Lytechinus pictus: one gene and its partners. The protein of the gene in region 2 purifies or fractionates together with the protein of the main gene of each other region. This does not show direct contact. Links are inferred from orthologs where the notes say so. Each region holds a gene or a part of one and is shown on either strand. Other genes may lie near its edges.

Region 1 (7,502 bases), on a different chromosome or scaffold from region 2:
ATTATGCGTGATATTTTATGTGGGCAAAAGCCCAGTATATTTTGGATGGGTCGTGTGTGTCGCGTGCATATAACTGATATTCCTTCGCACGCGAGATGATATGAACCCATGGGTGGCCTGGGCCTGGGCCCTGGCATTCGACTAGACTTGAGGACTTTGTGATGATATTTTTTAATATTTTGACATAGTTGACATTTTGACATACCGGTACTTCTTCATCTCGAAGCCTTGAAACCATTTCCATACATGCATAAGCGACACCTATACACCCGGATGGATTTCCCTAGGAAATCCATATTTAGAGGGTGAAATCGGTTAGTGTCTATTTTATTTATCTATGAACCTTCATATGCCTACTGCGTATGAAGGTGTAAAAAGTGTGTTAGTTTTAATAGTAAATTAGAGGTTTCTTTCCAGACCGATCTTGTGTACATGTAGATCCCTCAATCCATTTGTAAACAATGCAAATACAATAGGCTTGACCCTTGAACCGCATCGTTATGACATAACCTTCGATAAGCGATGTTACAAAATGCCGTTTTGAAGAACAATTTATAGATAGAAATTATTATTTAACGAATAATAAAATTTAAAACTTGATTATAAATAAATAAATTATCAAGTTTCAAATTTTATTATTTGTTTTTGCAGGGTAATAGGCCACTTGGCCTTTTTTCCCCTTTAATAGTTGCCAGCCGGGCAACCTATAATATACTAGTAGTGTACAGTGTATTATAGGTTGCCCAGCCAGCAACCAAAGTTAAGTGAGAGCCCTTGATGTACAAAAATTCATTGACCAGTGCAATTTTATAAAGATACATGTAGGGGTATAGGAACATTTTTTTTTTACTTTTTGATATTTTTGAATGACCATTGATAAATGGTGAAAAATGTCCGATCTATTTCTTTTTAGCCTGAGGAAATTGTCTACTTTTCAAAATTTATATCTTCAATTAAAATGTACTCATTGTAATCAAAATGAAGAGTAGATCATCTTCAATATGAAGGAATGATGGGGGATAACCCTACACCAAGGGTTGAAAGTTTCAAGTGTCACTTGGTCAAATCACTATTATGATAGCTCCATCTCATTTTAACTCAAGGTTACAAAGTAGTTAAAAGCATCATTGGAATGTTTAGCATTGTTTAATATGGTTCATTCAAGTTGATCTGTATTATCAAATCTGTGAAAAATGAAATATTGTATAATTCAAACCATAATGAACATGAGAAATAGTGAGGGAGGGACATCATCATCTGTCTCATTTGCATCTCACCGAGTTGTGCATATATCACTGTTTTGTGAATAATAAGCGAAGCTTTCAAATGTCATAACTGACTTGTTTTACATCCGATTTTGATGAAATTTTCAGTGTTACATGCTAGTTTGATTTTTCTCTATTTATTCAAATCAACCTTTTTCTGGGGTGGACTTGACCTTTAAAAATGATTGAAAAGTTATTTTTAAGGTCTGAAATTAAAGACCACTCCTATGAGTTGGATGTCACATGTTCAGGGAGGAATTAATTGTTGTTTCACTTGACAATGAGTAGAAAATAAGAATATTTCATATTTCAGATAATAAATTACAAAAGAAATAGTGAGTGGATGACGTCATCAGTCTCCTCATTCGCATACCGATCAAGATATGCATACATGTATAACTGTTTTGTGAAATTAAGCGAAACTTTAGAATATAATAAATTTCTTACCAGTATTTTACATCTGATTTTGATGAAATTTTTTCATTTTATTCCAATCAACTTTTTGTTGGGGTGGACTTGTCCTTTAATGAAAAATCATGCGTTACCCAATGTTTTTCATCAATATGGGTAATTAGTATTTATATTTAATTAGTACTTTTCATTACATTTGTAGTGGGTTAATTAACTTTAGTATTGGTAATAACTAATGAACATATTTAATTTCAAAGAAATTGATGCATCTTTTAGAAAGTTCTTAGACAATTACAGTTCGAAAAACAGTTGCACTCCTTGATTATAGGCCTATGTATGACCCCCTGGAATAATTTTTGTGGGCAGCAACCTGGGTCTACTGTGTGTGCAGTGCAATAGAAGACATGTTCATTTATCTCTTAGTGGACTATTTTTCTCATGAATTCTGTAATCTGATTGGTCGATTTGTTTGTTATTATTGTTGGTCACAAAGATCAAAAAGGTAATATGAGCCCATATCACCCGTGTTTAGCTGTTGTTGTTTTAATTTTGTTATGCGCATACCCAGTGATGATTTCAACCACGTAGTATGAGACCGTATTATGTGTGTATTCAAGCATTGCGCTACGCACTACTATTTGCGCATCAATTTCAATTGCAAAATACCCATTCTCTTTACTGTGATCATTGTGATGTCATAAATGACTTCCTTTCATATCACTCTCAAAATGCAGGGTTTTTTTAGTACTATTGTACCTTATTCTGCAATAATATAAGGATACCCTTAAAGAGATAAAACTGTTACACCCTGCTATGGCCTGCTTGTTCTTACGAAATACGGGAACAAGCAGGGTGTAACTAATAGTATCACATGCTGTAGAGAGGGAATTGAAATCATTTTTGTTTGATATTTAGAACTGTCCAATATTTGGGCTCTTTACCCTGCATGTGTAATTCTAATGGCCTCAAAATGCAGCCATTCTCATAAAAATTCTTAAATTAATGTCTAATGTGAATGGGTGAGCAGACATGTGTGGCACCATTTCCCCCCCCCCCCCCCCCCATCTGTAAATTTGGAAGTACATATTTGCTCAATTTTTTATGAGATTTTGGCTTTATAAGAAACGATGTCAACTAAAAATTTTCTGAAATTTCAAAGAAATTCATAATTATTCTTAGGTTCAATTTTTAGATGCACAGAAATGCCCCCCCCCCCTCATACCAGCAGGACTCTCACTAGTGCATACTACCAGCAGGGCTTACCCCACCTGTTATGGATTAGATGCTTTTTCGCCCCTGTCATTCTTGATTTTAAGAACATAAACCAACTGGTTCTTAGTCCCAAATCAAGCATCCAAAGTAACGAAATCATTATTTTCTGAAAGAAAATTAAGGAAATGTGACTACAAAGAGACAATCCCTGTAATGAATAAAATTACTATTCATGTGCTACATGTACATTCTAGACTAGCTACAGATGTTAATTTTGTTGAATAAACACCAGATGACATAGTGAGCATGGGAAACACATGCGCTAAAGTTCTTCCATAATTGAAAAATGTTAAGGAATGGTGGCTCGATGCAGATCTATATATACTGCGTGAGTTCTGCTGTCTCTTTGGAGCAGAGATATAGTTGCATCTCTATTAAGTCATACATGTACACATGCTATGAGAGGCTTTGCCTTATGTAAACAATGTCTTGAAAATCACCTTCCCGCCGGCCAATTCTACTACTACCTTTTAAAACTAAGTACGACATGACAATTCAAAATATTTTGACAAAACGATTACATCAAAATTTTACTTTCTTTCCCAAAATGCTAGTCCTATTTTGTTTTTTGAAAAAAATGAGGGGATATTTGCAGCGAGTAGTTCGCCGCCATCCTGGCTTTTATCATGGAAAGCAGTTCCAATATCAACGGCTTGATCGTGTAGCGGAACTATCATGGTTTTGATTCTCTCGCCGAGCAATCAGTCTATCAACTGCGCAATTGTTTTCCATTGCACAGGCTAAGATGGAAGCGTAACCACTCAACGAACATACCATAAATAATCAGTAATAAATGATTGTGACAAAAACATACAATTTATCCCCTAGATCAAGAGATTTTACAAAATATACTTATAAAAAGCACAGATAATTGCAAAGGTTTTTGCTTTTAAATATTTTCTGACAGTCTCCCGAACTATTTATTGAATACAATGTATTGCTTGTAAACTTCTGTAAATTGCTGTCTTGTCAAGGCAAACTACCTGTATGGACAATCATAGTTTGGCAATAAATTGAATTTAGTGAACAGCATCTTTGTGAATCTGCAGTCATGATGTTTGAATTATAAATGAAGTCTTTTATGACAGGATTTAAAAGGTATTTCTCCATTTTCTGATGCAAAAAGATATCAAAGTTTCTATCTTTTTTCAATTCACAGATGTTAATAGAGTCTAGATGCTACTTTGAAGATGTAGTCTGACTGATTCAAGATTCTATGACCAGATAGCTAGTCCCAATTACTTAAATTGCATTCTTTTGTGAGGCTTGTTACTTTGAGGAAGGCAGCCGGTAATCATGCCCGGAGCATTGAAGAAACCTCTCTACATCAGCTCCTCCATTGAGGAACTCAACAAGAAGGTGGACCAGAACATAACCAAGGGACAAACTTCAAAAATGTGAGTAATAAGTTCACATTTGGGGCTAATCGATAATCTTCACATATATCACTTTGGGCATTTTAGCCCTGAGAAATATATTTACAATAAGATAACATGGATGTACCCAAACAATGATCAAGCTCATTGTTCATGAAAATAGGGTTTTTAGGGCTTGTTCACTTTGTCAACTCACAACTTCCCAGAAATCATGCTTTTTAACCCAAACGACAGTCTCATTAAATGCCACTGCAGAAAATGTTATTATATGAAAAGTATAGTATATGTCACATGTATAATTTTCATGAATCATTTGGGTTTTGCTACAAAAATATGCAGTATATTATGTTTCACTCTGACACCAGATTGGCCAGATCAGCTAACAAGGTATTCGTTGAGGCAGAAAAAGCTGATAAAAACCTTGATGAGGAACGTGCCTATGTTCTGTTCATGAAGTACCTCACACTATGGAAAGCTGTTCAGAAGGCAAAAGATTATAAGTCAAACAAGGTAAGTTTAAGTTGACTCTGTTATTATAGGTGAAAGTATCCAATTCTGTAGCAAGTAGTTTTGTTTGTTTTTTTAATAGAGGAGTGAGAGTCTCTTAAATAAACAAAATATTTGAGCAAAGGAGATAAGACATTAAATCTGACAAAGCACCATTGATTAAGTGAGTAAGCATTTACCATCTCAACAACTACTCATGCCTTTCCTTGTATTCTACATTATAAAATTCACTAACATGTGGCATAGAAAAATATGCATTTGAAATATTAACAAACTCTATACATGTATGTACCATTTTTTTCAAAGACTGGATAATATCTACTGAAATCATTTTTAAGGTTTCTTTTATTTATTTTTCTAGGATTATATTGATACTCTCATTGGTAAGGCAGGATGCAGAAAGGCTATAGATAAGGCAGAGGAACTCTCAGCATCATTGACCTTGAGGTGAGAATTCAATGTGATTCCTTAATCATTGGGAGTGTTTGGAGTATTTTTCTTTCTGGAACGAAATATTTCTAGTTCTTCACATTACATGTCAGCTTACTAGTTTTAGCCCAAAATATGTATGTTTACTGTATGCATATTTTTTTTTATAACTCACCTTTTATTCATAAAAAAGGGAATCACAATAATGGGCCCAGGTTACCAGTTCTAAACGAACGTAATACAGGGGGCAACATAAATTGAATACAGTAAAGATAGACATAAACAAACATAAAACAAGATATAATAATTATTTACATATCAAACGCGTCAATTCAATTCATAGCAAAATTTATACTTAAAGTGGTGAGAAGGTGGAAGGAGGGGATGTGCTATCCCGTGGTTTAACTTAGGTTGTTCTTATTTTGAAATGAGGTCATCGTACTAACATATGGAATTACAAAAATATATAAATTATGCAATTATGAATATATGAACAGATAAAGTGTAAATTCACATAGGTAGGCCTTAATCTTGAGTTTATATTTTGTATATGTAACAGGTGTGATATATTAAATTATATGATATATTACTGTCTGGCATATATAAATGAAACAAGAATGGTTGGAATGGGGAAGAATGAGGAAGCAAGGGCTGATGGAAAGGAAATGGTTTGGAATAGGTTGGAAAGAAGAGAAGAAATAGGAAAAGGGGAGAAGAGAATATAGATAAAGAGGTAGAGAGGGGGTGAAGTATAAGGGGAAAGGAATCAGCCCTTACGCCATAATAATCTGAACAGCATAATATTGACGGAAAAATGAGCAAATAATTATCTTTAGATGTACAACAATCATATTGGAGAAATTCAAAATGAGAGTCAGTGAAGAAGTGTCATGTCGGTCCACTGTGGTTCACTCTTTGCATTGTAGATCACGTATGAACCAATTAGTGCTAGTTTACTCATTGTAAGGATAACATCTTTGTATTTCGAGGAAAATACAACTTTCAATCTTATACCTGAATTCTCATAGATTATGTAAGAATTATATATTTTTTTAATTCCCTGAAATTTTCTCCAAATTATGTGTGCAAAAAGCATCTTGAGCTATCACTGTCATATCTTTATTTTCATTATGCAATGCAAGTAGAAAGTTTGTATATGTATAACCTGTTCTTATGTGAGGGATTTTCACAAATTTGAAATTGAAAAAAACAAAAACATAAATTTATCACCATACAAAATATCCTTGCAGCACACTTGTCACAATTTTGTCAAATTTTAATTACTATATCAATGGTGTACAGTACAGTGTAGCTATACTGCCCATATATATCTGGACACTGCATGCATCATGCACCCCATTGATTTGTCGGTGTACCAAGGGTAGCTCGTATTGGTGGGAACATGTATCACAGACATGCCAATATGCAGCAGAAGCCTTCCGACGATAAAGATCTATTTGCAAAAAATATGAGTCATACAGTAATGACCAATAATTATAAAAGGTAATCATTTTCAAATTCCTTGAATTTTCATCTTAAACAAATCATATGTACAGTGAGCTCCTGCAGTGATGGATAATGATTATGATAAATAAGTTATCATTTCCAAATTCCCTAATTTTTAATCGTATTACACAGGTACAATGAGCTAGAGGAAGCAAAGGAAGCAAGTAAGAAACTAGAAGAGGAGAAGGAGAAAGTGAAAACAAATGGTTTGAAGGATGGCAAGTCCAAAGATGGAGAGGAAGGTTCAGTGGAGAATGGAGTTCCAGAGGAGGAAAAGAAAAGAGAATTTGGTAAGATAAAGATGAAATTAATACAGCCCTTACAATTAGCAAAAGAGCCCACTTAAAACTCTTTGTGAGTTTAATATAAACATCAAAGGTACTATTAAAACAATATAGTCCTATGAGTAATAAACTACTTTAAAACCAAATATTTGTGAAGATACTTAAAGAAACTTGTCTGCAATTGGAGAAGGGTTCATCTTAAAATCTTTAATCAACCCATTCAGATGGGCAATATAAAGATATCACAAGTGTAACCTTTTATTTTCAGGCAATGGCACATATTATGTAAGCCTAACCTTGATTCTTGACCATTGTGTTTGCTGTCGTTTCTTAGCTTTTCTTCTTCAAGGTAGTTGATGTACTTTTGGTCTGACTCAGAAGTGATAATTTGTTCTATAACTTTCACCAATAGTAATGACTTAAATTACGTTATGATAGTCATACAGTAGGCT
Region 2 (7,951 bases):
CTCCCTTCTTTGAGGGCCCTACAGTATCTTTCCCAGATCTAGGTAAGGTGGCTTCCCACAGGGAAGATGAAGACATCTTCCCTGTGGGAAGGCACCTTACCTAGATCTGGGAAAGATACTGTTCTTCACTGAGGTTGATGGATCTGATCTGACAACCTGCCTTGGTTTTGATCTGCTGAGAAGCAATGTTGTCTTTCTTTAAGTACAGGGTAGGAAATAATTCTTATTTCTAAATTCTAGGGGCTATTTTTCTTTTCCACATTGGGGCAATTGCAAATGTATTTCGTTCATTTGAAAGGCTGCTTCTTATGGGTAAAAAGTAATTGTGCAGTAAAAGGAAATATTATTCTTCTACCAGTAAGAATATTTATTTTCAAAATAATATGCAATATTGTTTGGAACAGACCTTGGGGCGGCTCTAAAAAGAATGGTCGCCTCAAAACGTGCATTTTGGGGGGAATTTTAGGGGCGATTTCGGCTGTCATGAGGGCAAAATCACCCGTCACCCTCATGTATTTCATATTCTGTTTTAGTAAGGATGTCAGGCTTTGTCTAATACATGATAAAATTCCTTAATGGACCTCTCCCCTACATGTACATGTATATTGCTGAAGGAGAAGTGCTTTTCTAAATTCAGTGGGGGTTTTCCGACCTAACTTCTTTTGCAAAATTTGGTTAGAAATTACAAAATTACAGTTCAACCTCGTCTTTATACCATGCATGTTTCCATAAAATATTGTAGGCCTATATATATATATATATATATATATATATATATATATATATATATCATGCATGTATATATATATCATATATATATATATATATTATATATATGCCAGAATTCCAGTTTAATTTAGTAAAATATGAACCATAATTTTCCATAAAAAATCATCTTTTACCAAGAAACTGGACGTTTTTATGAACATCTGATACAATACAAGTAACCAACAGTGCAATTAGGCTTTACTCTTGTCATCCTTTACAAGCTTGTTGGAGCTCCATTCTTTAAAATTGATCTTGAAATTAATTTATCAAAAGGAAAATAACTCCCTACAGAGAATATGGATGGATGCAATTATGAAAATACCAGTACATATATGGTCAAGAAAGTACATACATGTATTTCACACTCACAAGTCAAACTTTTAATTGTACTAAATAATGGCAAGCAACAATTTGTTTACATATATGTTTGATTTCTTATTTCAGCTTCAACCTTGTTGTTATGTTATTAAAGCGGAAAACAAAAGATAACACAGATGTGGTAAGAGAGAGAGAGAGAGAATCAGAGAAGAGGTGATCAATAAATTCATGTAGTTTTCAAATTCAAGATTTCATTTAAAGAATGGTCTATTGAATGGGAAACGAAGACATTTTTTTATGGCTGCCATTAAAGGGATGGTCCAGTCTGAAGATATTAACCCTATATATCTCAATAAATAGAGTAAAATTCACAGAGCAAAATGCTGAAAATTTGATCAAAATCGGATATAAAAACAAATAACAAAGTTAAAGAATTTTAAAGATTTGCATTATTCTGGTGCAACAGTTCTAGGCATGTCTTCATGAATATTCATTAGGTGGGCTGATGATGTCATATCCCAACTTGTTCTTTTGTATTTTATTATATGAAATTAGGTTTATTCAAAATTTTACAACCAAGAACTAAAACAATTGGATTGACAATATTAGTTATTTATTGCCGCAACTTATTTCATCATAATGGAGACACATTATTTACACATGTATGAAAAATGAAACAATTTCATGTAATAACATAAGAAAAAGGAAAGTGGGGATGTGACATCATCAGCCCACCAAATGAATATTCAGGACAATGTGCATATAACTGTTTCCACAAAATAGTAATAAACTTTAAAATTCAATAACTTCGTTATTTGTTCATCCGATTTTGATGACATTTTCAGCATATTGCTCTGTGATTTTTAATAGATTTTACATATTTTCAGCCCGGACCATCCCTTTAAACTTAATAAACAACACAAATTAACACAGACACAATGATAACCTTACAAATTAGTAATGAAACTTCTAATTTATAATAGGCCTGAATGTAGACCAAAAGCTTTGGTCTCTGTTATGTTGGTTGTTCAGCTGAACTCCGTTGGCTTCACTCACCAAATACAGAAACCGAAGTTCTAGCGCGATCGGTACAGGGGACTCAATGGCCATATGTTTATGTGTATTAAGTTCGGATAAAACAGGGCAGTGAAGTTGTGCGACAGCCGAGGTAAGTCACTGTTTTTGTTCCTTTTAACTTGATTTTCCCCGTTTTTTGGCAATTAATGCCAAGAGGGAATATTAATTTGCATTTCGGTCGCGTTAATTTTCAAATGTTTGATTCATTAAAGACAAAAATTGAAGAGCCCCGACGGGGGGATTTTGAATTGCAAGTCCCCTAATGGTGGCTGCACGATAGCGAGCCGTCTGTGTATGAGGAGAAATTAAGAAAATATAAAAAATGTTAAAAAACTCCTCGATACAGACGGCTGCCAGCTGTCTAGCCTGAATGAAGCTTTCCCTAGTTTTAATAATCTATGCATAGATTTTTAAGTTGGAACTTTGAGTAAACAAATGTCACAAATACTGTTTTTTCTTTGTGGTCAAGACTATTTCTTAAAAAGTTGAATGGAATAAAAAATCAAATATTCCATATTTTGTTCAATAGAAAACAATGCGTGACTGACATTTAATTCTGACGAAGTTAGCAGGGTGATAATTTATTCTTGAATTCAGATTCAGAAATGAGGAACTTCATGTAGAACATTTGATTTATATAAAACTGATCAAATTCGAAGGCTTCAAAGTTCAAGTATTAAACATGCAAATTAATGTCTTAACTTTAACTTAAAAGAATATTAATTCAGTTGACATTGGTCTGTAAAAGGAAAAACAGTAAGAACTCAATCTACAGAGGGTATTTGCTAAGTCGGTTTTTCCAAAGTCAGGATTTTTACCAAATTGAATCCCTGTGGCTGTGCAGCAACTCATTCTCTTCAAACAAACAGCTCAGCTCCACAACAGCAAACCAACGTTAATGGGCCTCACACACACACATACACATTTCGGATTTGCGTGTAGTTTCAATGCAGACAGATATATGGAAAAGGTGCCTACCAAAAATATAGTACCGTACCGTACTCCAATGCAATACGGATTGCATCTCACACATCTTACTCTCTCACATTCAAAGATGTATCGGAGTAATTCTTGTAAACTTTAATAACTCAGGTTTATCTGTAACTGGCCAAAATTAGAGTAATCTATCACTTACCTATCCAACATCAGTCAATCATGATGCCTGAAAATACAAAATAAACGTCTTTCCCGGAATGGGACCATGATAAACACTCGCAGAGATTCTCGTGTTTTAATTTCGGAGGCGAAAGTTCGTGTACAGTGCATGTGTACGTGTGTAGCTTTCATATGTGGAACTTTGAGTGAAGAGTTTCAAGGTTTTCTTTCGAGTCGACTAGTCTGCTGGTGTACTGGTACGGTCTCCGCTGGAGTGTAACGACATATGGCGATGAGGGCCAATTTTTTTTAAAATAAAGAATGTATTATAGTAAATATTCACTTCCCCATAATGTATTGAGCTGATGAGGGGCAGAACATGGATTATAATATGCATATGGGATAAAATGTGCCAGACAGCGCGAAGCGAGCGATCGAGCAGACAGTTTCACCTCAAGATAATTTTATCTTTTTTTTCTATGGACATGATGGAACTTTTAAATGGGGCCCATGATCGAATCAGTTCAAATTGAGCAAAGCACTTTACTAGTATAACTGATATAATGAAATGAATTTTTGTTTAATGAATACTTAATTCAGATCCTCAAAAGTATTTCAGTTAAAAATTAAACGCATAATGAATATTTGAATAGTTCTTAAGGCAAGTCTTTCTGGAATGTTTGGATATATGATCATATATATATGTATATATATGATCATATATACATATATATATATATATATATATATATATATATATATATATGATCATAATTATATATGTATATATATATATATATAAGAATATATATATATATATATGATCATATACATAGGCGGATCCAGCTTTTGGCGAAAGGGGGGGGGGGCGCACTGCCGAGCGGCGCACATATTTTTGCACTTCACCGGCGCCAAAAGAAAATGTTGAAAAAGGGGTAAAATCTGACCCTATCAAATGCTCTTTTCAAAATGTAGGATTTCCAGTCATACCATTTTGCATGACCACACGCAGATAATATTTCCGGGGGGGCAAGACTCGAAAATTTGGTGCACATCTCACATTTGCACATTTTTTATAGTTTTCATGAAATGTTAAGGGAAAAAAAATTGTTTTTCACAACAGCAGATCGCGAATGTGCCCCCCTTCCCCCTTGCTGCGTACGACCATTCCCTGAAGTCCACTTAAACATATTTCATTATAACAGAAAATATACATCAATTTAAACATATAATCTAAAACATATATAGAGAGAGATTGAAAAACTTATTGAAGAAAGAAACAAGCAAAAAGTAACACAAATTATGCATGTTATGTGCGATTTCAAAATCTCGTGTATTAACCCTTTTATTGCAATGAGGCCAATACTTTTGTATATTAATAGAGATACAAGTTTTTTTTAAATATATGTATATATATATATATACACAGGGGCGTCGATCCTTTTTTTAAGATTTGGGGGGCAAAATCATGAATCAACTTTCCAAAGGCGCTCGATATCACACAAAACAAACAAACTCACACACACACACACACACACATAAATATATATATATATTTATATGACTCATGAGATAGAAACACATATCTCACCAACAAATTAATGCGAGCGCGAAGCGCGAGCTGAATTTTTTTTAATATACTGACCTGAAAACAGGAAAAAGGTGCCTGTTTAGGACTGTTTGTAGTAACCCATGAGGAGGATACATATCTCACTACACAGATAATGCGAGTGCCGAGGGCGAGCTGAAATTTCTTTATATTCTGACCAGAAAGCTTGATATTCTATGCATATTTGGTACCAATGATTAAGATGGGTATCTAAAAAAAAACAATAGATGCGAGCGCGAAGCGCGAGCATAAAATTTTGATATTTCGATCTGAAAAAAATGACAGTTTAATGGACGTTTGTAATAAAGAACAAGATTATATCCAGCAAAAGATTATTGCAAATCGAAGCGGGAGTTCTTTTGACGTTTAGAACTGAAAACGGGACATTCTATTCACCTATTTAATCATAAAAAGTATGGGGTTTTGCTACAGAAATGATGCGAGCGCGAAGCGCGAGCTGAAAATTTTTATATTCCAATCTGAGAAGCGGATAATTTAAGCACGATTTTAAATAAAGAACCAGTTGTGTAGCTCAATCTCAATATACGACTGGTTGCGTAATTATACACTCCCGGTACTAGCAACGGGTTTTAGCAAAGTTTTGGGCTAAAATATCGAATCATCTTCATAAAACACTTTAGTAGCTGTCTTAAACTAAAGGCCATAGAGGTGGCACAATGTGGAATGTGTAAAGAAGAAAAGTGACTGACCTTCTTTTTATTAAAGCATTGGAAAATAAGATCAAAATTAAAGGATTTGCTCTACGCTTTTGTATGATTCTGGGATTTTTTAAAAATAAATTAAAGATTTCATGACATCTGTCATTCTGTGGGCAACTGCCCCGCCCCAGTCCACTCTGTAAGGGCATGTGATAAAATTTGTTATGACCATTCAACAATAAAATGTATAACCAGGTGCCGCTGATCATTCTTGACCGGCGCCGATCTAGATTTGGTTGGCAATAGGCCCTTCTTCATTATTTTACCGGCGCCTATTTATTGGAACCAGCTAGGGGACGCTGATTATTCTTGACCGGCGCCGATTTAGAACAAGTAGTGCTGATTATTTTACCGACGTCACGTAAGATTCAGGCAGCGGCAATTCATAATTGACTGTCACCGATTTAGAACCAGGAGGCGCCGATTATCTTGACTGGCGCCGATTTTTAACCAGGTGGTGCTGATTATTCTTGTCCGGCGCCGATTTAGATTTAGGTGGAACTGATTATTCTTGATCGGCGCTGGTTAAGACTCAGGCAGCGCCGATTTATAACCAGATGGCGCTGATTATTCTTGACCAGCCCCGATTTAGATATAGGTGGCGCTGATTATCCTTGATCGGCGCCGGTTAAGAACTCAGGCAGCGTCGATTTTTCTTTACCGGCGCCGATTTATAACCAGATGGCGCCGATTATTTTTATCTGGTGCCGATTTAGATTTAGGTGGCGCAGATTATCCTTGATCGGCGCCGGTTAAGACTCTGGCAGTGCCGATTTTTCTCGACTGGCGCCGATTTATAACCAAATGGCGCTGATTATTCTTGTCTGGCGCCGATTTAGATTAAGGTGGCGCTGATTATTCTTGATTGGCGCCAGTTATATGCAGGCAGCGCACTGCTGATTATTTTTAACAGGCGAAGTTGTTGGGAAAAGGGTAGTTAAAAAAAAGATAAGGAAGATGATATGATTGTGCTTCGCTGGGGGATAGTCTTTCCTTACTGTTGCTAATATTATATCAGTGTATAATTTTTTTAAGCGGCGCCTTTTCTTTTCTTTCCTTTATTTTTTATTTTTTCAAGCAGCGCCTTTTCTTTCTTTTACTTTTTTTTTGAGCGGCGCCTTCGGCGCCGCTCAAATATTAGGGGGGACGCGCGCCCCCTGCGCCACCCCCCTGGATCCGCCACTGATATATATATATATATCCCTCCAATCAGTAAAACGAACATGTTACAAAACACAAGTAATTGGATATGATTGAAAAGACCTAAGTCGATATAACTGACGATTATTATCTGTGAGCGCTTCCTGTTCCTGCAGTATACGCTGAAAATCTGGTAAGATATCCGTATATGATAATGATCATAAGGGTGATGACCATTTTATCAATCAATTTCGGGGGCAGGCAGCAGGCAGAACCAGAATGGCACACACTAAAAAGTGTAAACGAATTGTTTAAAATTCAAACAGCAAGTAAAATTCATCTGAACATTGTTAAAATTTCCAAATAACAACTCTAGTTAAGAAAACCAGGAGGCATGAGATGTACACCTGCATTTCTTGGGATGAAAAGGTCATCATGAATAGTAATAATAATATGCGTTTATAGCGCCATCTACTCTTCAGAGGCGCACAGGAAAAAACAAAATCCCACAAGGACCTTTTTACATTGATGTTAAACGACTTAAAGATTTTTTTAAAAATAGAGCCGAATTATCAGTGATGTTACGCCGATGATATCGCAATTCGATTTACTAGCTCCAACTTAGAACTGTTTTATTATAAATGAATTAAATTCATTGATTTATTTCAATACAAATGAGAATAACATAAATACAAAATCAATACAAATAAAAACGCGCTTACATGCACTGGCCTGCAACTGGTTCGCCAATTTAAGCTGCAAGAAGCCCTCCATGAAATTGAGATTTGTTGGTGGAGATGGAAATTAAATATTTCCCATGCACACCAAGCCTGTAGTTTCAGTTATTACTAATAAACAAAAGATAAAATAAACGGAGATATTTTGCCTCATGATTGCGAGCAGTTTACGTATCTTGTAATCCCAATCTGGGTCCCGTAAAACAAAGGTTAGCGATAACTCGTACTCCGGATTTTTACGATTGATTGTACATTGAAGTCAAAGGAATCAATCGTAGAAAGATGTTCTACGATCATTGCTAAGCTCTGTGTTACGGGCCCCATGCAGGTCTGTCCATATAGTGCGAATGATGAATGTAAGAAAATGATGAATTTATTACGTTGCGTTTTGGGCACTTCATTGGGGAATAAGTAATGTAATTTTGATATAAAAGACTTATTTTTTCTATGTTAGACTATGGAAGTGCAAATGTATGATTTTGCCCGTA
Region 3 (7,458 bases), on a different chromosome or scaffold from region 2:
TTTGGGCCACTAAAACAATGATTAAACACCTCAGAACCTATGTTCCTTATTTAAACATTATTTTTGCGGTCTCTTAAAACAAGCTGTTGAAATGGAATTTTGTTTTTCGTATACATTCTTTATTCCTGAAAACCTTGTTAAATTCTAAAGAAAGTCGAATCATGTTCGCGTAATTACAAACTCCTGAGACGTCTCTTACACCAACCGTGTTATTTGTATTTTTGATCGGTACGTTGAGTAATTGAATGCCTTTTGGTGAATTTTGCTGTTCGATTCATTTCTTCTAGAAACTCAAAGTCTCCTTAAATCACTAAAACCATTTACTGAATTTGACTTTTGTTGTGGTCTACACTATTAATGAATGTACTGGAACCTATTTCATTATGCCCTACTTAGATTTTCGGAACAGTCATTTGAATCATACACTGAATCTGACTTTTGGTTTTGGTTTGTAGCGCACATTGATATTTATCTTTAAATAAATTTTCAAAGCCGTTCAAACCCGTATCACTAACTTAAAACTTCTTCATTAATTGCTTACACCGTCCGTCAATTTTCAGATGTTTGGAATTCTCTTCCACATAATATTCGAAATTTGAAAACCTCACATTCTTTTAAATTGGCTGTAAAGCACAATCTCCTTTCAAAATTACAGAATCTGTAAAGTGCTAGTAACGTATACATATAAGCAGTTTTGTTTTCTTTCTTTTCTTCGTAACTGAAGATTAAGAATTTAACTCTGTTGAATTACTATACCATATATTCATAACAATTTGAAACTTAATTGTTATATCTCGGCAGTCTATCACTTTTACGTTCTTTTCTTTCTTTCCTCTCTTCCTTATTCTTACATTTTTATTTTTGTTTTCTTGGTACAAAACCAGTTTAAAGGTGCTTCAACCAATCAAGCTATTAGCTTATGTTGCAACACCTTTGTATGTTCATTATTTACTTGTGTTTCATATATATATATATTTATATATTATCTGTGTATTCTTTTACATTGTACATTGTAAACATGCATGAATAAATAAATAAATAAACTATTTATTTTTGTTTATACATTTTTATTATATTTTGGAGGCCGTCTTGCATTTACATAAATCAAAACCTTAGATTAAATTATGAAATATTGATAATCCTTGTTGTTTACTTATGATGAATCCTTAACCATCTCTTGAAATAATCATTGAATCGAACCTTTGTGGGTCAGCAGTTCGCGTGTATGAAAACTTATAGGAGTGAATAAGAAAAGTGGTCTGATTCCTGGCTGTTTTGACCCGACTTAAAGATTCATTAGCGGTCACTAAAATCGACAATCGCATCTGTCTGTTGTCTTTGGTCTGTAGTTCTGAACATAATAGTTTTTCTTGTTTTATCAAACTGGCAACTATTTAATTTGTAAAGAGAGTTTTCAATAAATAAGGCAATTCTGTTGTAATGGGTTTTTTTTTCGAGGTAGTATGCTTCCGCGCTTCTGTGAGGATGTTTCTAATATTTATCGACTATGCAGTGGAGCAAGAAAGAAATAATTTGACGTTTCCCAGACATGGCGTTTGGGGAACAAACAATAAAGTTGCGCCCGAGCAAAGATTTTGTCCTTTTCGATACACATATTTATTTTTGTTATAAATTTTGACCGTAAAAACGATATCATATTTTACAATATTGTATTTTTTCTTCTTTTTTAAACTATTTTTCTTGGTCGTAATTTCCTTCTTTTTTCCCCCTTTTTTTTTTGGGGGGGGGGCACGATCCCCAAGCCCCCATTGATACACCATTGCTGCTATGTATTGTATTGCGCGGTTGAGTATATCCATATACAAATTACGCAATATAAATTCATGATATTTATTGCTATAATTATTCACCGATGGCGTACTTAAAGCTTCGTCAGTCGTCTCTTAAACCAAGATCAACTAATGGATGGGGGTGGGAGGTCTACAGCGCCTAATAACGAATACCTTGGAATGGATTATAAATGGCGCTCCACAGTCATGTCAACAAACCATTCATCATCGCCATTTAGATATTCCAAGGTGGCTGATATTATGGTGTCAATAGAGTAGCATCCGTCAACCCGGGTATTTTCTTCTCCTCGAGGCAGCCACTCGGTTTGGCGCGTGCAATCACCATAGATGCTTGAGTCAATAGGTTTGTTTGTTCTTGCTATGCGATCCCTCATCTTTGCCACTCGCCTTCAAGAAATTTGTATTAATAGCCTATAAGAACAGGGGGCGACGCGACAGGGGTGGGGAGGTTGCCCCTGTGAATTTTCAAGTGGTGAAATATATAGAAAAAGGGGCAGAAATGAGAAAGAAAGGGACAAAAAAGAGAAGCCTGGACCGTGTAACCCTGCAATACATTTATGATTAGATTGGCGTCACCTTTACAGGTCGCCTTGCCTCCCTTTCAAAAAATATTTTGCCCCCCCCCCCCTCCCGCCTACCAGTGGGGTAGAAGGCTGATTAGCAGGGACAAGAGGGGGCTCAAGATGTGGGTTGAATATTTAAGTCGTGAATGTATCTTCTAGTGCGTGTGGTCTAGTGGTTAATTTCTGCAGCATGTGCAGACGTAGCAACATCCACAATAATTCAAGCGTTATTTTTGAAAAAGTTCAAGTACATGTATATAGTAGTAGGCCTAATAACAGTGAAAGCAGTAGTGGTAGTAGTAGTAGTAATAGTAATAGTAGTAGTAGTAGTAGTAGTAGCAGCAGCAGTAGAGTAGTAGAAGAAGAAGTGGTAGAAGTAGTTGTAGTGGTGGTAGTAGTAGTAGTAGTAGTAGTAGTAGTAGTAGTAGTAGTAGTAGTAGAGTAGTGGTAGTAGGCCTAGTAGAAGTTTTAGTAGTAGTAGTAAGAGTAGAAGTAGGCCTAGGTGGTAGTGGCGTTAGTTGTGTTAGCGGTAGTAGTATCCCCATCGTCATCACCATCGTATCATAACCGGCATTATTATCATCATCATAATTATCATCATCATTATCGTCATTCTTATCATTTATTCCCTCATTCATCAACATCACATTCGTTACCAATCAAAAACTAACATGTCGCCCCCCCCCCAAAAAAAAAAAAAAAAAAAAAAAACATGATATGTCTCGCGAGTACATGTACATGATTATATCAAAGATCATGCACATAAAAAACACTATTTCATAAATATCAATGAAGAAGCTCTTCAAGAGGATTTCATAATGTTCACTGTATTTTTCTCGGTCATTAAGTGCTGGTTGCATGTAAACATAGTGCTATACTCTATATATTAATAGAGACAGACTCTTTCGGTTGACATGGCAACACTTGATGGGTAGAGCGACGGGTTTTTATTAATCAAATAACGATGCAGAATCCCCTTTGCTTATTAATTTTGTTCTTGAAAATATATTTTCTCCATCACACATCTCTCTCTCTCTCTCTCTCTCCCTCCCTCTCTCTCTCATACACACACACACACAAATTATATTCTCCCTCTCTCCCCTCCCTCTCCCCCCTCTCTCTCATACACACACACACACGCACAAATTATATTCTCCCTCTCTCTCCCCCTCCCTCCATCTCTCCCCCTCTCTCTCTCACACACACCCACACACAAACACACACCACCCTTACCACTTTCTCTACCCCTCTCTTTCTCTCCACTCTCACACAAACACACATTTATTCAATATCTCCCACTCTCTCTCTCACTAACATACACACCCACACACGCATACACACCATCATACATTCTCTTTCTGTCACTCTCTTTTTCACTTTCCCCCTCGAACCCCACTCTCTCCCTCCCTCTCTCCCTTGCTCCCTCTTTTCTCTCCTCTAATTTTCTCTTTCCCTCCCCCAACCTTTTCGCTCGCTTTCGTTTTCATATCTTTTGTTCATCCCTATCCGTTGAAGATATTTTTATCTTCCTCGATCATTCCATCAAATCCATGCGATATATTACCACCCCAGACCTATTTGTTCACATCTTACATCTCTATTAACCTTGTTCATTGTGTTGACATTTACGCCCTTTGTAACAGGAAACTCCGAACGAGCCTGATACAGATTCATCTTGGCAATACCTGAGACCACTCTTCATTTTATCTCCGAATCCGCCAGAATTAAGAGCAACATGTCAGCAGGGTCTAAAGGCAAAAGTGGAACAAGGTAGGCAAATCAAGTTAATTTATTTTTATTTTGATTTATTTATTTATTTTTTTTGTATTCGAGAAGTAAATCTAACCATTAAAGAAACAATGACTAATCAGCTATATTCAAAGTGGAAATGAATTAACAGAATAGAACTGAAAATCAGATTCCGATTTGTTTCTGAACATTTTATAAAGGATAACCGTGGATGTAAAAAAATCCCTGATCCAGTAAGGGGGGAATCCCCCATCCCCACCCAGACCCTTGCTGTGTCTACCGCTTTTGCAGATTTCCATGTTGGCAAGCATGTTATAGTCGGACCAATCTAAATGAACACGATGATTAACACTGCGTGTCAAAGGATTCTTATCTCATATTCTATTGCCTTTGATAATGGATGTACCTCAGGGATATATACTGGCCCCTTTTAACTTTATATTCATGCAAATAAACCCATTATTCACTTGCAACATCCAAATCGTGGTAAAAGGAACATGTTTTAAATTGATTCATAATAGATTAGATCTCCCAACTAATATATTTTCCCCCATTTTTTAAATTCATTTTTTCATCTTTAGAAACCTATTACCTTTGATGTGTTTAGAAGCTTGGTGTTTCATCATAAAATGACCGAGTGCTTTTCAAAAATTATTTTTCAAATGGATCTTAATGGATACATACATATATATATATATATATATATATATATATATATAAGGAAAGAGAGCTCTGGGGAACCTTGATTTAAGCTACGCCTACCATTGTTCTCTTCATCCATTTCTTTACAATATTTAAATAAAAAGAGTTGCCAATACTGTTGTACATGTATAACTTTACACATTTGTATACATTCTCCCATACGTGTACTGTATCAAAGCAATAGCTTTGATCCAGCTGAGGCATGGCGGTTTGTCATTGTTAAAAACCCACCTTCACCCGACAAAGGAAATTATAATTGGTATAGTGTCGAAAATATGTCTAGCTGACGGTCAATCGGATTGGGGTCGCCCTAGCCACTAACCCGTCTCTGTGGTCTAGTGGTTAAGGCACCGGCGTTCAAAGCTGGGGGCCCGGGTTCGATTCCCGGCAGGGACATTTTTTCGGCATCACCAATTTTTCCAAAGGGTAGAGAGCTCTGGGGAACCTTGATTTAAGCATGGACCTATGAAAAGATGGACGATTAACGCGAGCATTTCTTTGACCCAATGATAGTCACCGTCACCTGGTTATGCGCATCTTAATGAGAACATACAGGTGTTATAACAATAGCAATTACCATGACTACCAAGGGTATCTGATCACTCAAAGACGGAACAGTTTCCCGGTCTTGATTTTTGTTGGCTGATCCCCTGTTTCAGTATGTGCCTTTCAGTCAATATGCTTCATATATGGATCAGCAAACTTGAGAAGCAGACGATTTTTATGATATAAAATATGATATTATTCGATCCGCTAACTACCGCTCACACATAAGGACCTCAATAACATTGAAAGATACACGATCTACACATGTTATGTGCCACGTATATCTGGAATATTATGGAGAAACTTGGGAAAATTGAATTTTAAATGGTAAACAATCACGATATTGCCTCTATATTAAAATATGCAGACATTTCCCCAAATAAAACACATGGAACTAAGATTAACAAAGGTAAACAAAAACTGCACATCGATTATCCATTATTTCATTGATTTTCTATCAACTGCGCATATAATTTGTGAAATATAAATGTCCAATCACGAACTAATTCAGTCCCTTCTCACGGTGACGATCATAGGACCAAAGAAGACTAGTATGAAGAGAATGTTATTCAGATGACAATTACCGTCACCTGTTAGTGAATTCATTATCTAAGCGATGAATGTCCATCTCTTCATAGGTCCATGATTTAAGCTACGCCTACCATTGTTCTCTTCATCCATTTCTTTACAATATTTAAATAAAAAGAGTTGCCAATGCTGTTGTACATGTATAACTTTACACATGTATATATATATATATATATGTATATATATTCATTGATATAATTAATAGACAAGTAGAAAGATTGGAGTTAGATAGGTAGACATATACAGTAGATATATTTAACGGTAATGTGTTCTCCGTCAAGGATAGGAAATAATGAATAAATTAATCTAAGAATAGCTGAAGAAAATTTCACTTTCACTACTTTCCATTTATCCTTCAAAAAAAATTAAATGAACAGGTAAATTCACTTCTTCGGCTTTTCTTTGATTATTTTGTTCATTATTAAAGATACTGTGAGTATACACGGGGATATAGACAAGAACATGGGTTTAGAGAAAGCATTGACTTGAATTCTGTTTCTTGACTATCTAAAAATAAATTCAAAATGAAGGGGAAAACATGACGAGTGCAAGCTAATATGAGTGAAGAGGCGTTACCTACACTTGAATGCACTCGAAATGACGTTTGAGAGGACAACTGGTAAATTTGATGCCGTTGATTTCCTGTCAATTTCCTGTTCTAACAAAAATCATTTGTGAATATTATCGAGGTGACTGTCGTTGGGTTGAAGCCATTAGCATGCATGCAGAATAGGAAAGAGATGAAGGGGATTTACTCTTTCCTTTTCTTTTGTACAGTATAATTTTGATCTTTTTTTTTGGTTGTTTGTACTTGCGCGATGGAAATGTTTCACCTGCACATCCAAACATCCGATTACCACTCACACGGAAACACCGCACTCGCGCACACACACCCACAAATACACACTTCGACACGCGTGTCCTGACATTAGCAAGAATTCCAGTAGTGAAGTAGGCAGATTATCTAGAAGGAGAGAGACAGTAAAGAAGAAGAAAAAGAAGAAGAAGAAGAAAAGAAAAAAATCCGAGAGTAATTTCAGTCTGTAAGGTGAGCCGCTATGCCTAATAGAAGTAAATTGATTCCTATGTTATTGGTTCTATACCAGCTTGGCGTTATACCAGCACAAAAACTGTTCTGTCAAGTTACTATACGGGAGTAACCATACAAGATGAAGAAGAATACTTGCTAATATACTACATGTATGAAAGTTACAAAATTGTGTATCTCCCTGAAACCCTAATACAGATAGCTTCCTCTTACTACGAAGGTCTCCATACAACTAAGTAGCGAATACATTGAATTTTCTGCTTATTTCGAGGGTGTTTGTTCATTATGTGCTGATTTTTTTTTCGTGCTTGTCATCCTTATCCTCAAACGCCTTCCCCCATCTTGATAACTCAGCAGAAATACACACTGGTCCGTTGCTAGGCTTCTGGTTTTTTCCCCTCAAAATTAGATGCCAAATAATTCATTCCTTATTATTGACCGTCACCAATTC
Region 4 (8,077 bases), on a different chromosome or scaffold from region 2:
TTCGGAGACACCGAATGAAATTTAGGGGAGCGAAATTGCACAAGATCAATGAGATCTTGAGAGACAATGGGCATTTTCATCAAAACAATTTTACCATAAATTATAGATCACGACACATCCAATAACGTCATCGGTGACGTGGACTGATTGACTCCCAAATTCCGTGTGATTATATAGTTAGTTGTGGACAGGCTTCTGGTTGCTTCCTTATAGTCATTCATGCTTTCTCAGAAATCGGGTGAAAATAATCGATATTGATAGATAGATAGATACATACATACTACATATATAGATAGATAGATAGATAGATAGGTGGGTTGGCGGACGGATAGGCAGAGATGGATGGATGAAAGAGTGGGTGGATGGTTGGATGGATGGATGGATGGATGGATGGATGGATGGATGATGGTTGGATGGATGGATGGTTGGATAGATGGAGGTATGGATGGGTGGGTGGATGGATGGATGGATGGATGGGTGGGTGGATGGGTAGATAGAAAGAAAGATAGATAGATAGATATAGAGAGAGGGGGAGATAGATAGATAGATAGATATGGGTACATAGATAGATCAAACTACTTGAAAAAAATCTTCTTTAGGGCCTGTATGGAGGAAAATGAAATAAGTAAGGTGGTGACTTTCAGCTTTGACATTGTGGGGAATGGCGTCACCGAGAGCTGTCAATTCAATGTGCCATTGGCGTTACAGAACAGGTGTGTATGTCATTTGTCATTATCCGGCATGACAATAATCAACGGGTCGTGTGTTTAAGTATTCTACCATTACAAGGTGAAGTTAGCTAAACCTGCACTTTTACACGTATTTCTCAATAGATACAGATCTTGAATGAGATCGAACACTTGAATTAGGTCGAGCAACAACCCCCGCCAAACTTTTGTTTTTGAATGAATTTCATTGAGATTAATATACTTCATTAAGTTTTGTTGAGTACTTAAGATGGAAAATGTGTTAGATTTCGATGGTTTACCTTAGATCAATGTGATTAAAGGGACCCCTCCCCCCGGAAAGGGAAAAATTGAAAAGGAAATTCCCTAAAATCAAAGAAACAAATATTGACCCCACACACACACACACCCCCACACACGCATACACAAATAAAACGAATGAATAGAAAGGGAATAGTTTATAAACAACGGGTAGGCATATGGTAGGTAAAGTTGTAAAGTCATTGGTGGAATATATACCCCATGCACCCGACATCCAGCAACAATTATGTGCCCACTATATTCTAATAATTATCTAAAACACCACCCCTACCCCCCCCCCCTCTCAGCCGTAAGTCCCATCCACCATGTTCAGACTGGAAATATATTTTTCGTAACTATAAATTACTAATGTCGATAACTAGGCCTATAACTTTTACACTTACTTCTACCATGTCGACAACTCCTAACACTAAACCATTGGGGTTTTTTTCTACACGACTTACCTTCATCAGAAGTCTTTTAGCGTAGTATCATGCAACAATCATCCATTTTTATCATTAATTCACTGAAACAATATCCCATGAATCATCGTTGTGCTAGACTTTCTCTTCACTTTCTTCCTTTAGAGATAAGACTTCGGCTGATGTTTGACCCTTTTGTCAAATAGAACTGGGTGGTCTCTATATAAATCCTATCTCAAGACAGTTTTATCATTTTACATTCAGGGGCCGCGGAACGGTTTTCAAATTGGGGGGGGGGGCGGCTGACCATGCAAAAAATCACAATCATATGGTCATTTTTACGTTTTTGTACATGGTTTTGGAAAAAAGTGGGGGGCTGAAGCCCCCCCCCCCCCCCCCGCTTCCGCGGCCCCTGATATTGTAATTATTGCTTGAACTTTATCAATGGAATTTGAAATATAAAAAGAAATAAATTTCCCATAATCGTTCACATTATTTTTTTTTTAGTTCATAAGAATGAAATTCATTCTTTGATGATCATTTCAACGATATGTTACTTATTATTTTTGCATGTTTTTATTTTCCTTATTCTTTCACTATCTAATTCAACCAATATGAAACGAGTTTTTTCTACACACAGTCAATAACCTTCAAATAAATTAAATTATATATTCATGTATAATACAGTTTTGTTGTTCATATGCATGAATGCGTACAATTTTGCTTCGAACAATTTACAGTTTGGATATTCTTGGTTCAGAAAATGGTAGTAGGTTGTAGCATTAGACTAATTTCGACCATGCAGCAATTGCACAAAAATTCGGTTGTTGTTGTTTTTCAGGCCTAGTATATATGCTTTCTCTAATTTTTCAAGGAAACGATATTTGTAATACGTTCTTCAACGTTCTTTTTTTTAACACAGGAATGATCTCAGTATAGTCAAGGATGAATAAACAGCCTTCCATAAATAAATTCATATATTGCTATGGTAACTAGAAGTTTGTAAACAATTATTAATTGAACGTGAAAACATTGCCACCCTATAATGCTCCATTTTTTACTCCTTTTTTATGTCGCCTTGGAAACGTTTCGAAACCACACAAAGTTTGACAGTGTAAATTTAACCGATTTTGGAGAGTTAAAGTGACAAGGGGCTGACTAATAATCCACCACATCAGTGATTCCACTTCCCAGTTTAAGTCAATTTGTGTAATTTTGTCAACTTAGAATAGCTCATCATCAGATATTCACTATTCTATATATACCTTTTTGCATTCTCTTTTTCGTTTTCATTTCCTCTCTTCCCTTTTTTGCTTATTTCTTGTTCCTTCTTTTTTTCTCCATCGATCTTTTCCATTCTTCACCCTCATATTGTACTCGTTCTGATATTCATGTATTCTATCATGGACTTTCTTTCAAGTATTTGAATCTAAAATGTACTTCCATTTAACTATGTGAATAATCCATTTGTCATTGTTGCAATAAAGAACAAATAATTTGTCGTTAATAGTTCTTTAACATGGTCACTTGTCCAATCTATTTGTCAATTAACAATTCTAAAATTACCAAATAATCACGTAACGTCCTTGTATCGATTATTATGGAATCAATTCAATTCGGACTCAGAATTCATCACTTTGTGGTATTATCCTTTCTTTTTCATTCATGTAAATCCAGTCTTCCCATATCTTTTCAATTAAAAACCTAATTCATTTGCAGTGATAAAGTGACTGAGCTTTTCTTGATCAGGGGCGGTGCCACCTTCTATGGAAGGGATGGGGACATGGTCCAGGTTAATTTGCTTGCATTTTAATAATGATAATAAAAAGATCATTGTCAGTAGTAGTATAGCATTATCATGAAAACCTATAATCTATTTTCCTCCAGAATTCTTTTTTTTTCTTTCCAATAATAAAATTATCCTTTCCTTTTCTCTTCAATAAAAAAAACCAAAGGGTGGTCACCCCAATGCAAATGACAGACTTGATCACGTGACACTTGACACCGTCATACAGCCTTCTCACGTGAACTGATGACACGGGTTACACGTATATTTACCTTTGTTTATTTAACAATAAAACATCAGGTTCAGAGTCGAGCTATTTATATAGATTCAAGTCAAATAGATTTACTGGTCTTTCACGCCTATAAATGGCAAGTTAAGTTAAATTTTATTCCAGTTTGCTGTCGATAATTTATCCCCCCATATATCGTCTAAAGTTTTTTATTGGGAAAGGCGTGGAGCTGCAAGGTCTACGACAATTTTGCTCTACCAACTGAGTCATGATTAGAGCAGGGATTCGAACCCCGTAACTCTAATTTGCAGAAATTAAAAATAAATCCAGACGGACCGTAATAAGGGACCGATCGAATTCTGGATTTAGTTTGAATCCTACAGATTCATTTTTTAAATCTCAAAGTATTAGATATATCCCTCAAGTGTTTTTTAAGATTTAAACTAAATCCACAATTCGATTGATCCCTATAAATGCAGTCCATCTAGATTAATTTTAAATCCCTGCAATTTAGAGTGCGTATCATGGAACAATATTGAATGTTTCTTTCAAGCAGTGGAAGTATAATTTAATGTCTAGGCCTATATTGCGTTAATACTAAAGTTGTGTTAACTATTAACATGGACATGTCCCCACGCGCCCCCTTCCTCATCCTGGTTCCCCACCCGAATCTATAAACCCCACAAACAATACCCAATTTATACTAAAAATGACTATATTTGGAGAATAACAGATTGGTGGTATACCTCGTCATTGTCATTCTACTCAGAAATAAAAATCTTGTTGAATACAACTAAAGCAGTAAATAATACTTATTAACAAAATCATATCAAGCTCACGATTTCATCTAATCATGTTTACTAATTGTAGTTTGTTAAAGAGTGTTAATCCAATGAAAGTTATTATCCAGGATTTTGTTTTAGATGGGGGGCATTTTGTTCTCAAAATTTGATAAACAAAAATATATAAAGGGGAAAAGACACGAAAAGGAGAGTTTGCTTCGTGGCCGGTTCGTGGCAAACAGAAACCTTAACAAAAATATTGCTGACCTTTTTCAGTTGTTCGGCATCTTTGCATTCAACTGTGAGAAAATAAATCTAAAGAAGAAGAAAAAGCCTGCGATTTCAATTGTGTTTATACCCATTCGGATATACTTCTCTGGAACATTATTTTCTCTCCTTTTTCAGACCCGCGCGAATATTATACGTACCGAGTCTGTGAGCTGATCAATTTTTGTGAGAGACAAGCAGGTTCGCATCGTCTTGCGCTCATTCCGCGAAAGAAGTCCGTGAATGGAATTATTACCAGTAACACTGCATTCACATGCAGATACACAATGGTTCGTATAATTCTATTCTTTTACCTTTCCTTTCACTTTCTCCATGATACCGTCTGTGTTTAGTAAAGGAAAGACCCTTTGAGGTATTGTTGATATTATTTAAGTAAGGTTTGTACGAGTGTATTGCTTTTATTCGAGTTCTTTGGACCGTGCAACCGCGGAGAGGACAATAGAGCGAGCACACGAGAGTGCTCGGTTGGGGCGGCTCGGGCGAGGGAAGATTCGACGATCCGCAGGTTGCTTCGCAGCTACTTATATTCATTATTCTATATCTTTAAAAAGCATCTCTCAGCTGATAACCGCTTCTTGGTCCCAGTTTGATACCATCCTTAGGTATTCAAGCACCTCATCATCGGCCTCTAGGTTTTAATATCTGGATTATTACTCGTCTGACATCAACTAACCTTGGATTAATACGGAGACTATATCTGCAGACGATAACTCAAGTTTGGTCCCCTACTGGGCACCTAATCATTTTGGACGTGCTCTCTCTTCCCCATCTCCAATTAAGTGATACATAATTTGGATAGCTCAATTCTATTTGTCTTTATCTCTTCAGATTCGTCTTCGATTTAGCAGAGACCAGTCGGGCGACATGTCCAAGGGCAAGGGCTCGCCACACGTCGCCCAATGGGACAAGCAAAGTAAGTCGAAATCTACTTCCCCTTTAAACTCGACGTCCGTGCAAAGGTTTATTAATTCGATTAGTATATGTTTACGATTGTTTCTGGAAACAAAGTCCATGATGAATTTCAGAAGAGAGATAAACGTTGTTTGATGATCGAGTGTATAGCCTATTTATTAGATGCCTTGATAACAAACGCGGTGTGTTTGTGGGTGTGTGGTATTGGTCAGTATGTCCCGATTTAGAAATGATTTTAGCCATCACTATTTTTGTGTACCCATGAGTAATGATGTATATTGTGGGGAATTATTGTTCAACATTGTGGAGAACATCGATCATTGATCCATTTTCTATTCAGAATGACCCATCTATTCGTGTTTTAAACATAATGAACTAGATACGAAGTAATAGTTCAATGCACTTCGAGTTTGCATAATTTATTGGACACCAGATGGCAAACATTGCTATTTTTAAAAATGAAATAAAACTTGTTTTTATTTTGTTTTAAGTGTAAACTTGTACTAGTACGTTTAACGTATACTAGTATCACCACCTACAATATAAATATTTAACGTTATTCCATTCGGTACTCACAACGTTTTACTCACAATAAAACGCTTCTATCTCATCTTTTATAATTATTATTATGCCTTGATTATGGTTGGCAACACTTTCATGATTAAAAAAACGAATAGGGGTAATTCGTGACCATGATTATTATCTGCATTTAAATGGGTTTGTAACACAAAATGGTTATAAACGGATATCAAATATACATCGTAATAGTAAATATGTGACTTGATCTCACTTTCAATATATACGACATAATATTTATTGTTGACACCAATTACACCTCATGGTTTGTTTTCGGCCTATTCAACTTGGAAACCACGTTCTGAACAAAATTTTATCAAATATTAGTACATTCGTCGAACTGAAACGCTCTCTTTTTGTTCTGTACATAATATAAAAAGGTTAGTATTTCTTGTTTATTCCGAAGCTCACTGACTTGTAGCTTTACATGATTTTAATAATAATAATAATAATATCCAATTTTTAGAAAGCGCTTTTCCCAGAATGGCTCAAAGTGCGTTACAGCATATTATTACCCCGGTCATTGGATTCATTTCAATTCCGCACGAAAAGTGCACAATTTCCACTCCCTGGGGAGCATTCCTTGCATTCATCGCAGCCTCCTAAGTACACAATTCACCTTTAAAATGTATTTGGAGTTAGAAGCCCCCTTTTTTTATTTTACCTCCCGCATGTAAACGCACTCTGACTTCCGAAGCAATATGTTGTGTACCTTTAATTGGTTCATATCGTAGCACACCCAGCAAAATGTGCTGGTCATGCTGGTGGGTTTCGAGGAACTATATCGAAGGACACCGACTTGTCCCTTTAAATATACTTTTTAATCCCGGATTCTTTAAACCGCGGTAAATCCTGCATGCCATGGTAACGAGTAATCTTGTTTAACCTCCCGATAACTAAATAGTGAAGCCAGAGAAAGTTATATTGTCTTTACTTGTTTTTGCTATTTTTGTCATCCGGTGTTCGGGTTTCCAAACGGTGCCTGCTTTCCGGTTGAAATAGGAATAATGTATAAGAGCTTGTATAACTCCGGACACACACAATACAAGTGAATGGAAATGATATCGAAATGAGTTGTATATTTTTTCAGTTATTGGTTGATTTGGAATACGTTTCGCAGTGTGACAGAATATAGATTCCCTTTACATTTAGATCAACCGAATCAATGGTATTATGCATACATGCTTCAATTTTGCTTGCATGGGATTCATCGAATCATTGTTTAACTTTCCAAGCAAAATATGTCCCATTTTGACGTGCAACTGAGGTGTCAAGAACAATAATAAGGGGTGTTCAAGGATGACCACACCTTCGGGCGTTAAAATACACCATGGGATTTTAATATAACACCAACAAATCAAAATAACATACACAGTGTGGTATATGTGGAGGAGCCGTGGTGTAGTGGTTCTGACTCTCGCCTTGTAAACAGATGGTCGTGTGTTCGAATCCCACCGCGGTCTGGCGTTCTTTGGCAAGGCGTTAATCCACACTTTGCCACTCTCGACCCAGGTGCTAAATGGGTACCCGGTAGGATGTGAAAGTCATTGTAGCTTGTCCAGTACTGTGTGCGCCTCACCGGCGACTGACTGGAATACTACCCAGGGAGTGGAGGATGTGCACACATTGTGTGCGGGAATGACTGATTGAATCCGATGACCGGGGTAATAATAATTTTCTGTAAAGCGCTTAGACACGTTGTTCCGATGTATTAAGCGCTATATTAAAAAACGGATTATTATTATTATTGAGTGTTGAACGAACACCGTGAATTTAACGCTGGTGTTAATGTTTGATGTGGTGGTCTGAAAACACTGGTGGTGTATAGTTGTAACACAATTATTATAGTGCAGTGTTCATTTACCATTCCCGCCATGATCATGATGAACAAAATGCAGAATAAATTTGTGAAAGTGTATTGATTGTTTCAATCAATGCACATGAGCATATTCGATACGCTATTAGCAGCGATCTGTTACTGTTCTAAATTACATACCCATTGTTTTTCTTTGGAGTGAATTCCCTCTTCCCCTAATCATATTTGGACTTACTTGGCATTCAGATGTTTGAAGATGCAGTTGATAATTCTAATCTAC

Evidence for each region.
Region 1: the proteins of protein smoothened-like (region 2) and ubiquitin carboxyl-terminal hydrolase 8-like purify together in Drosophila melanogaster (affinity purification with western blotting, with the first as the bait; 4 studies listed by BioGRID). This does not show direct contact. The link is inferred for Lytechinus pictus from reciprocal best matches to the Drosophila melanogaster genes smo and Usp8.
Region 3: the proteins of protein smoothened-like (region 2) and beta-arrestin-1-like purify together in Drosophila melanogaster (affinity purification with western blotting, with the first as the bait; 4 studies listed by BioGRID). This does not show direct contact. The link is inferred for Lytechinus pictus from reciprocal best matches to the Drosophila melanogaster genes smo and krz.
Region 4: the proteins of protein smoothened-like (region 2) and cAMP-dependent protein kinase catalytic subunit 1-like purify together in Drosophila melanogaster (affinity purification with western blotting; 4 studies listed by BioGRID). This does not show direct contact. The link is inferred for Lytechinus pictus from reciprocal best matches to the Drosophila melanogaster genes smo and Pka-C1.

The regions. Positions count from the first base shown.
Region 1 is NC_087247.1:24,369,835-24,377,336, forward strand, and holds the start of ubiquitin carboxyl-terminal hydrolase 8-like, read left to right. Parts: upstream 1-4,106; 5' UTR 4,107-4,244; coding exon 4,245-4,345; intron 4,346-4,689; coding exon 4,690-4,834; intron 4,835-5,192; coding exon 5,193-5,278; intron 5,279-6,898; coding exon 6,899-7,056; intron 7,057-7,502.
Region 2 is NC_087245.1:40,970,814-40,978,764, forward strand, and holds the start of protein smoothened-like, read right to left. Parts: upstream 3,537-7,951; 5' UTR 3,299-3,536; intron 1-3,298. UniProt on the Drosophila melanogaster protein: Segment polarity protein required for correct patterning of every segment. G protein-coupled receptor which associates with the patched protein (ptc) to transduce the hedgehog (hh) signal through the activation of an inhibitory G-protein.
Region 3 is NC_087260.1:3,960,963-3,968,420, reverse strand, and holds the start of beta-arrestin-1-like, read left to right. Parts: upstream 1-4,109; coding exon 4,110-4,144; intron 4,145-7,458.
Region 4 is NC_087255.1:30,786,984-30,795,060, reverse strand, and holds the start of cAMP-dependent protein kinase catalytic subunit 1-like, read left to right. Parts: upstream 1-4,979; 5' UTR 4,980-4,998; intron 4,999-5,321; 5' UTR 5,322-5,357; coding exon 5,358-5,406; intron 5,407-8,077. UniProt on the Drosophila melanogaster protein: Serine/threonine-protein kinase involved in memory formation. Promotes long-term memory by phosphorylating meng and by regulating CrebB protein stability and activity.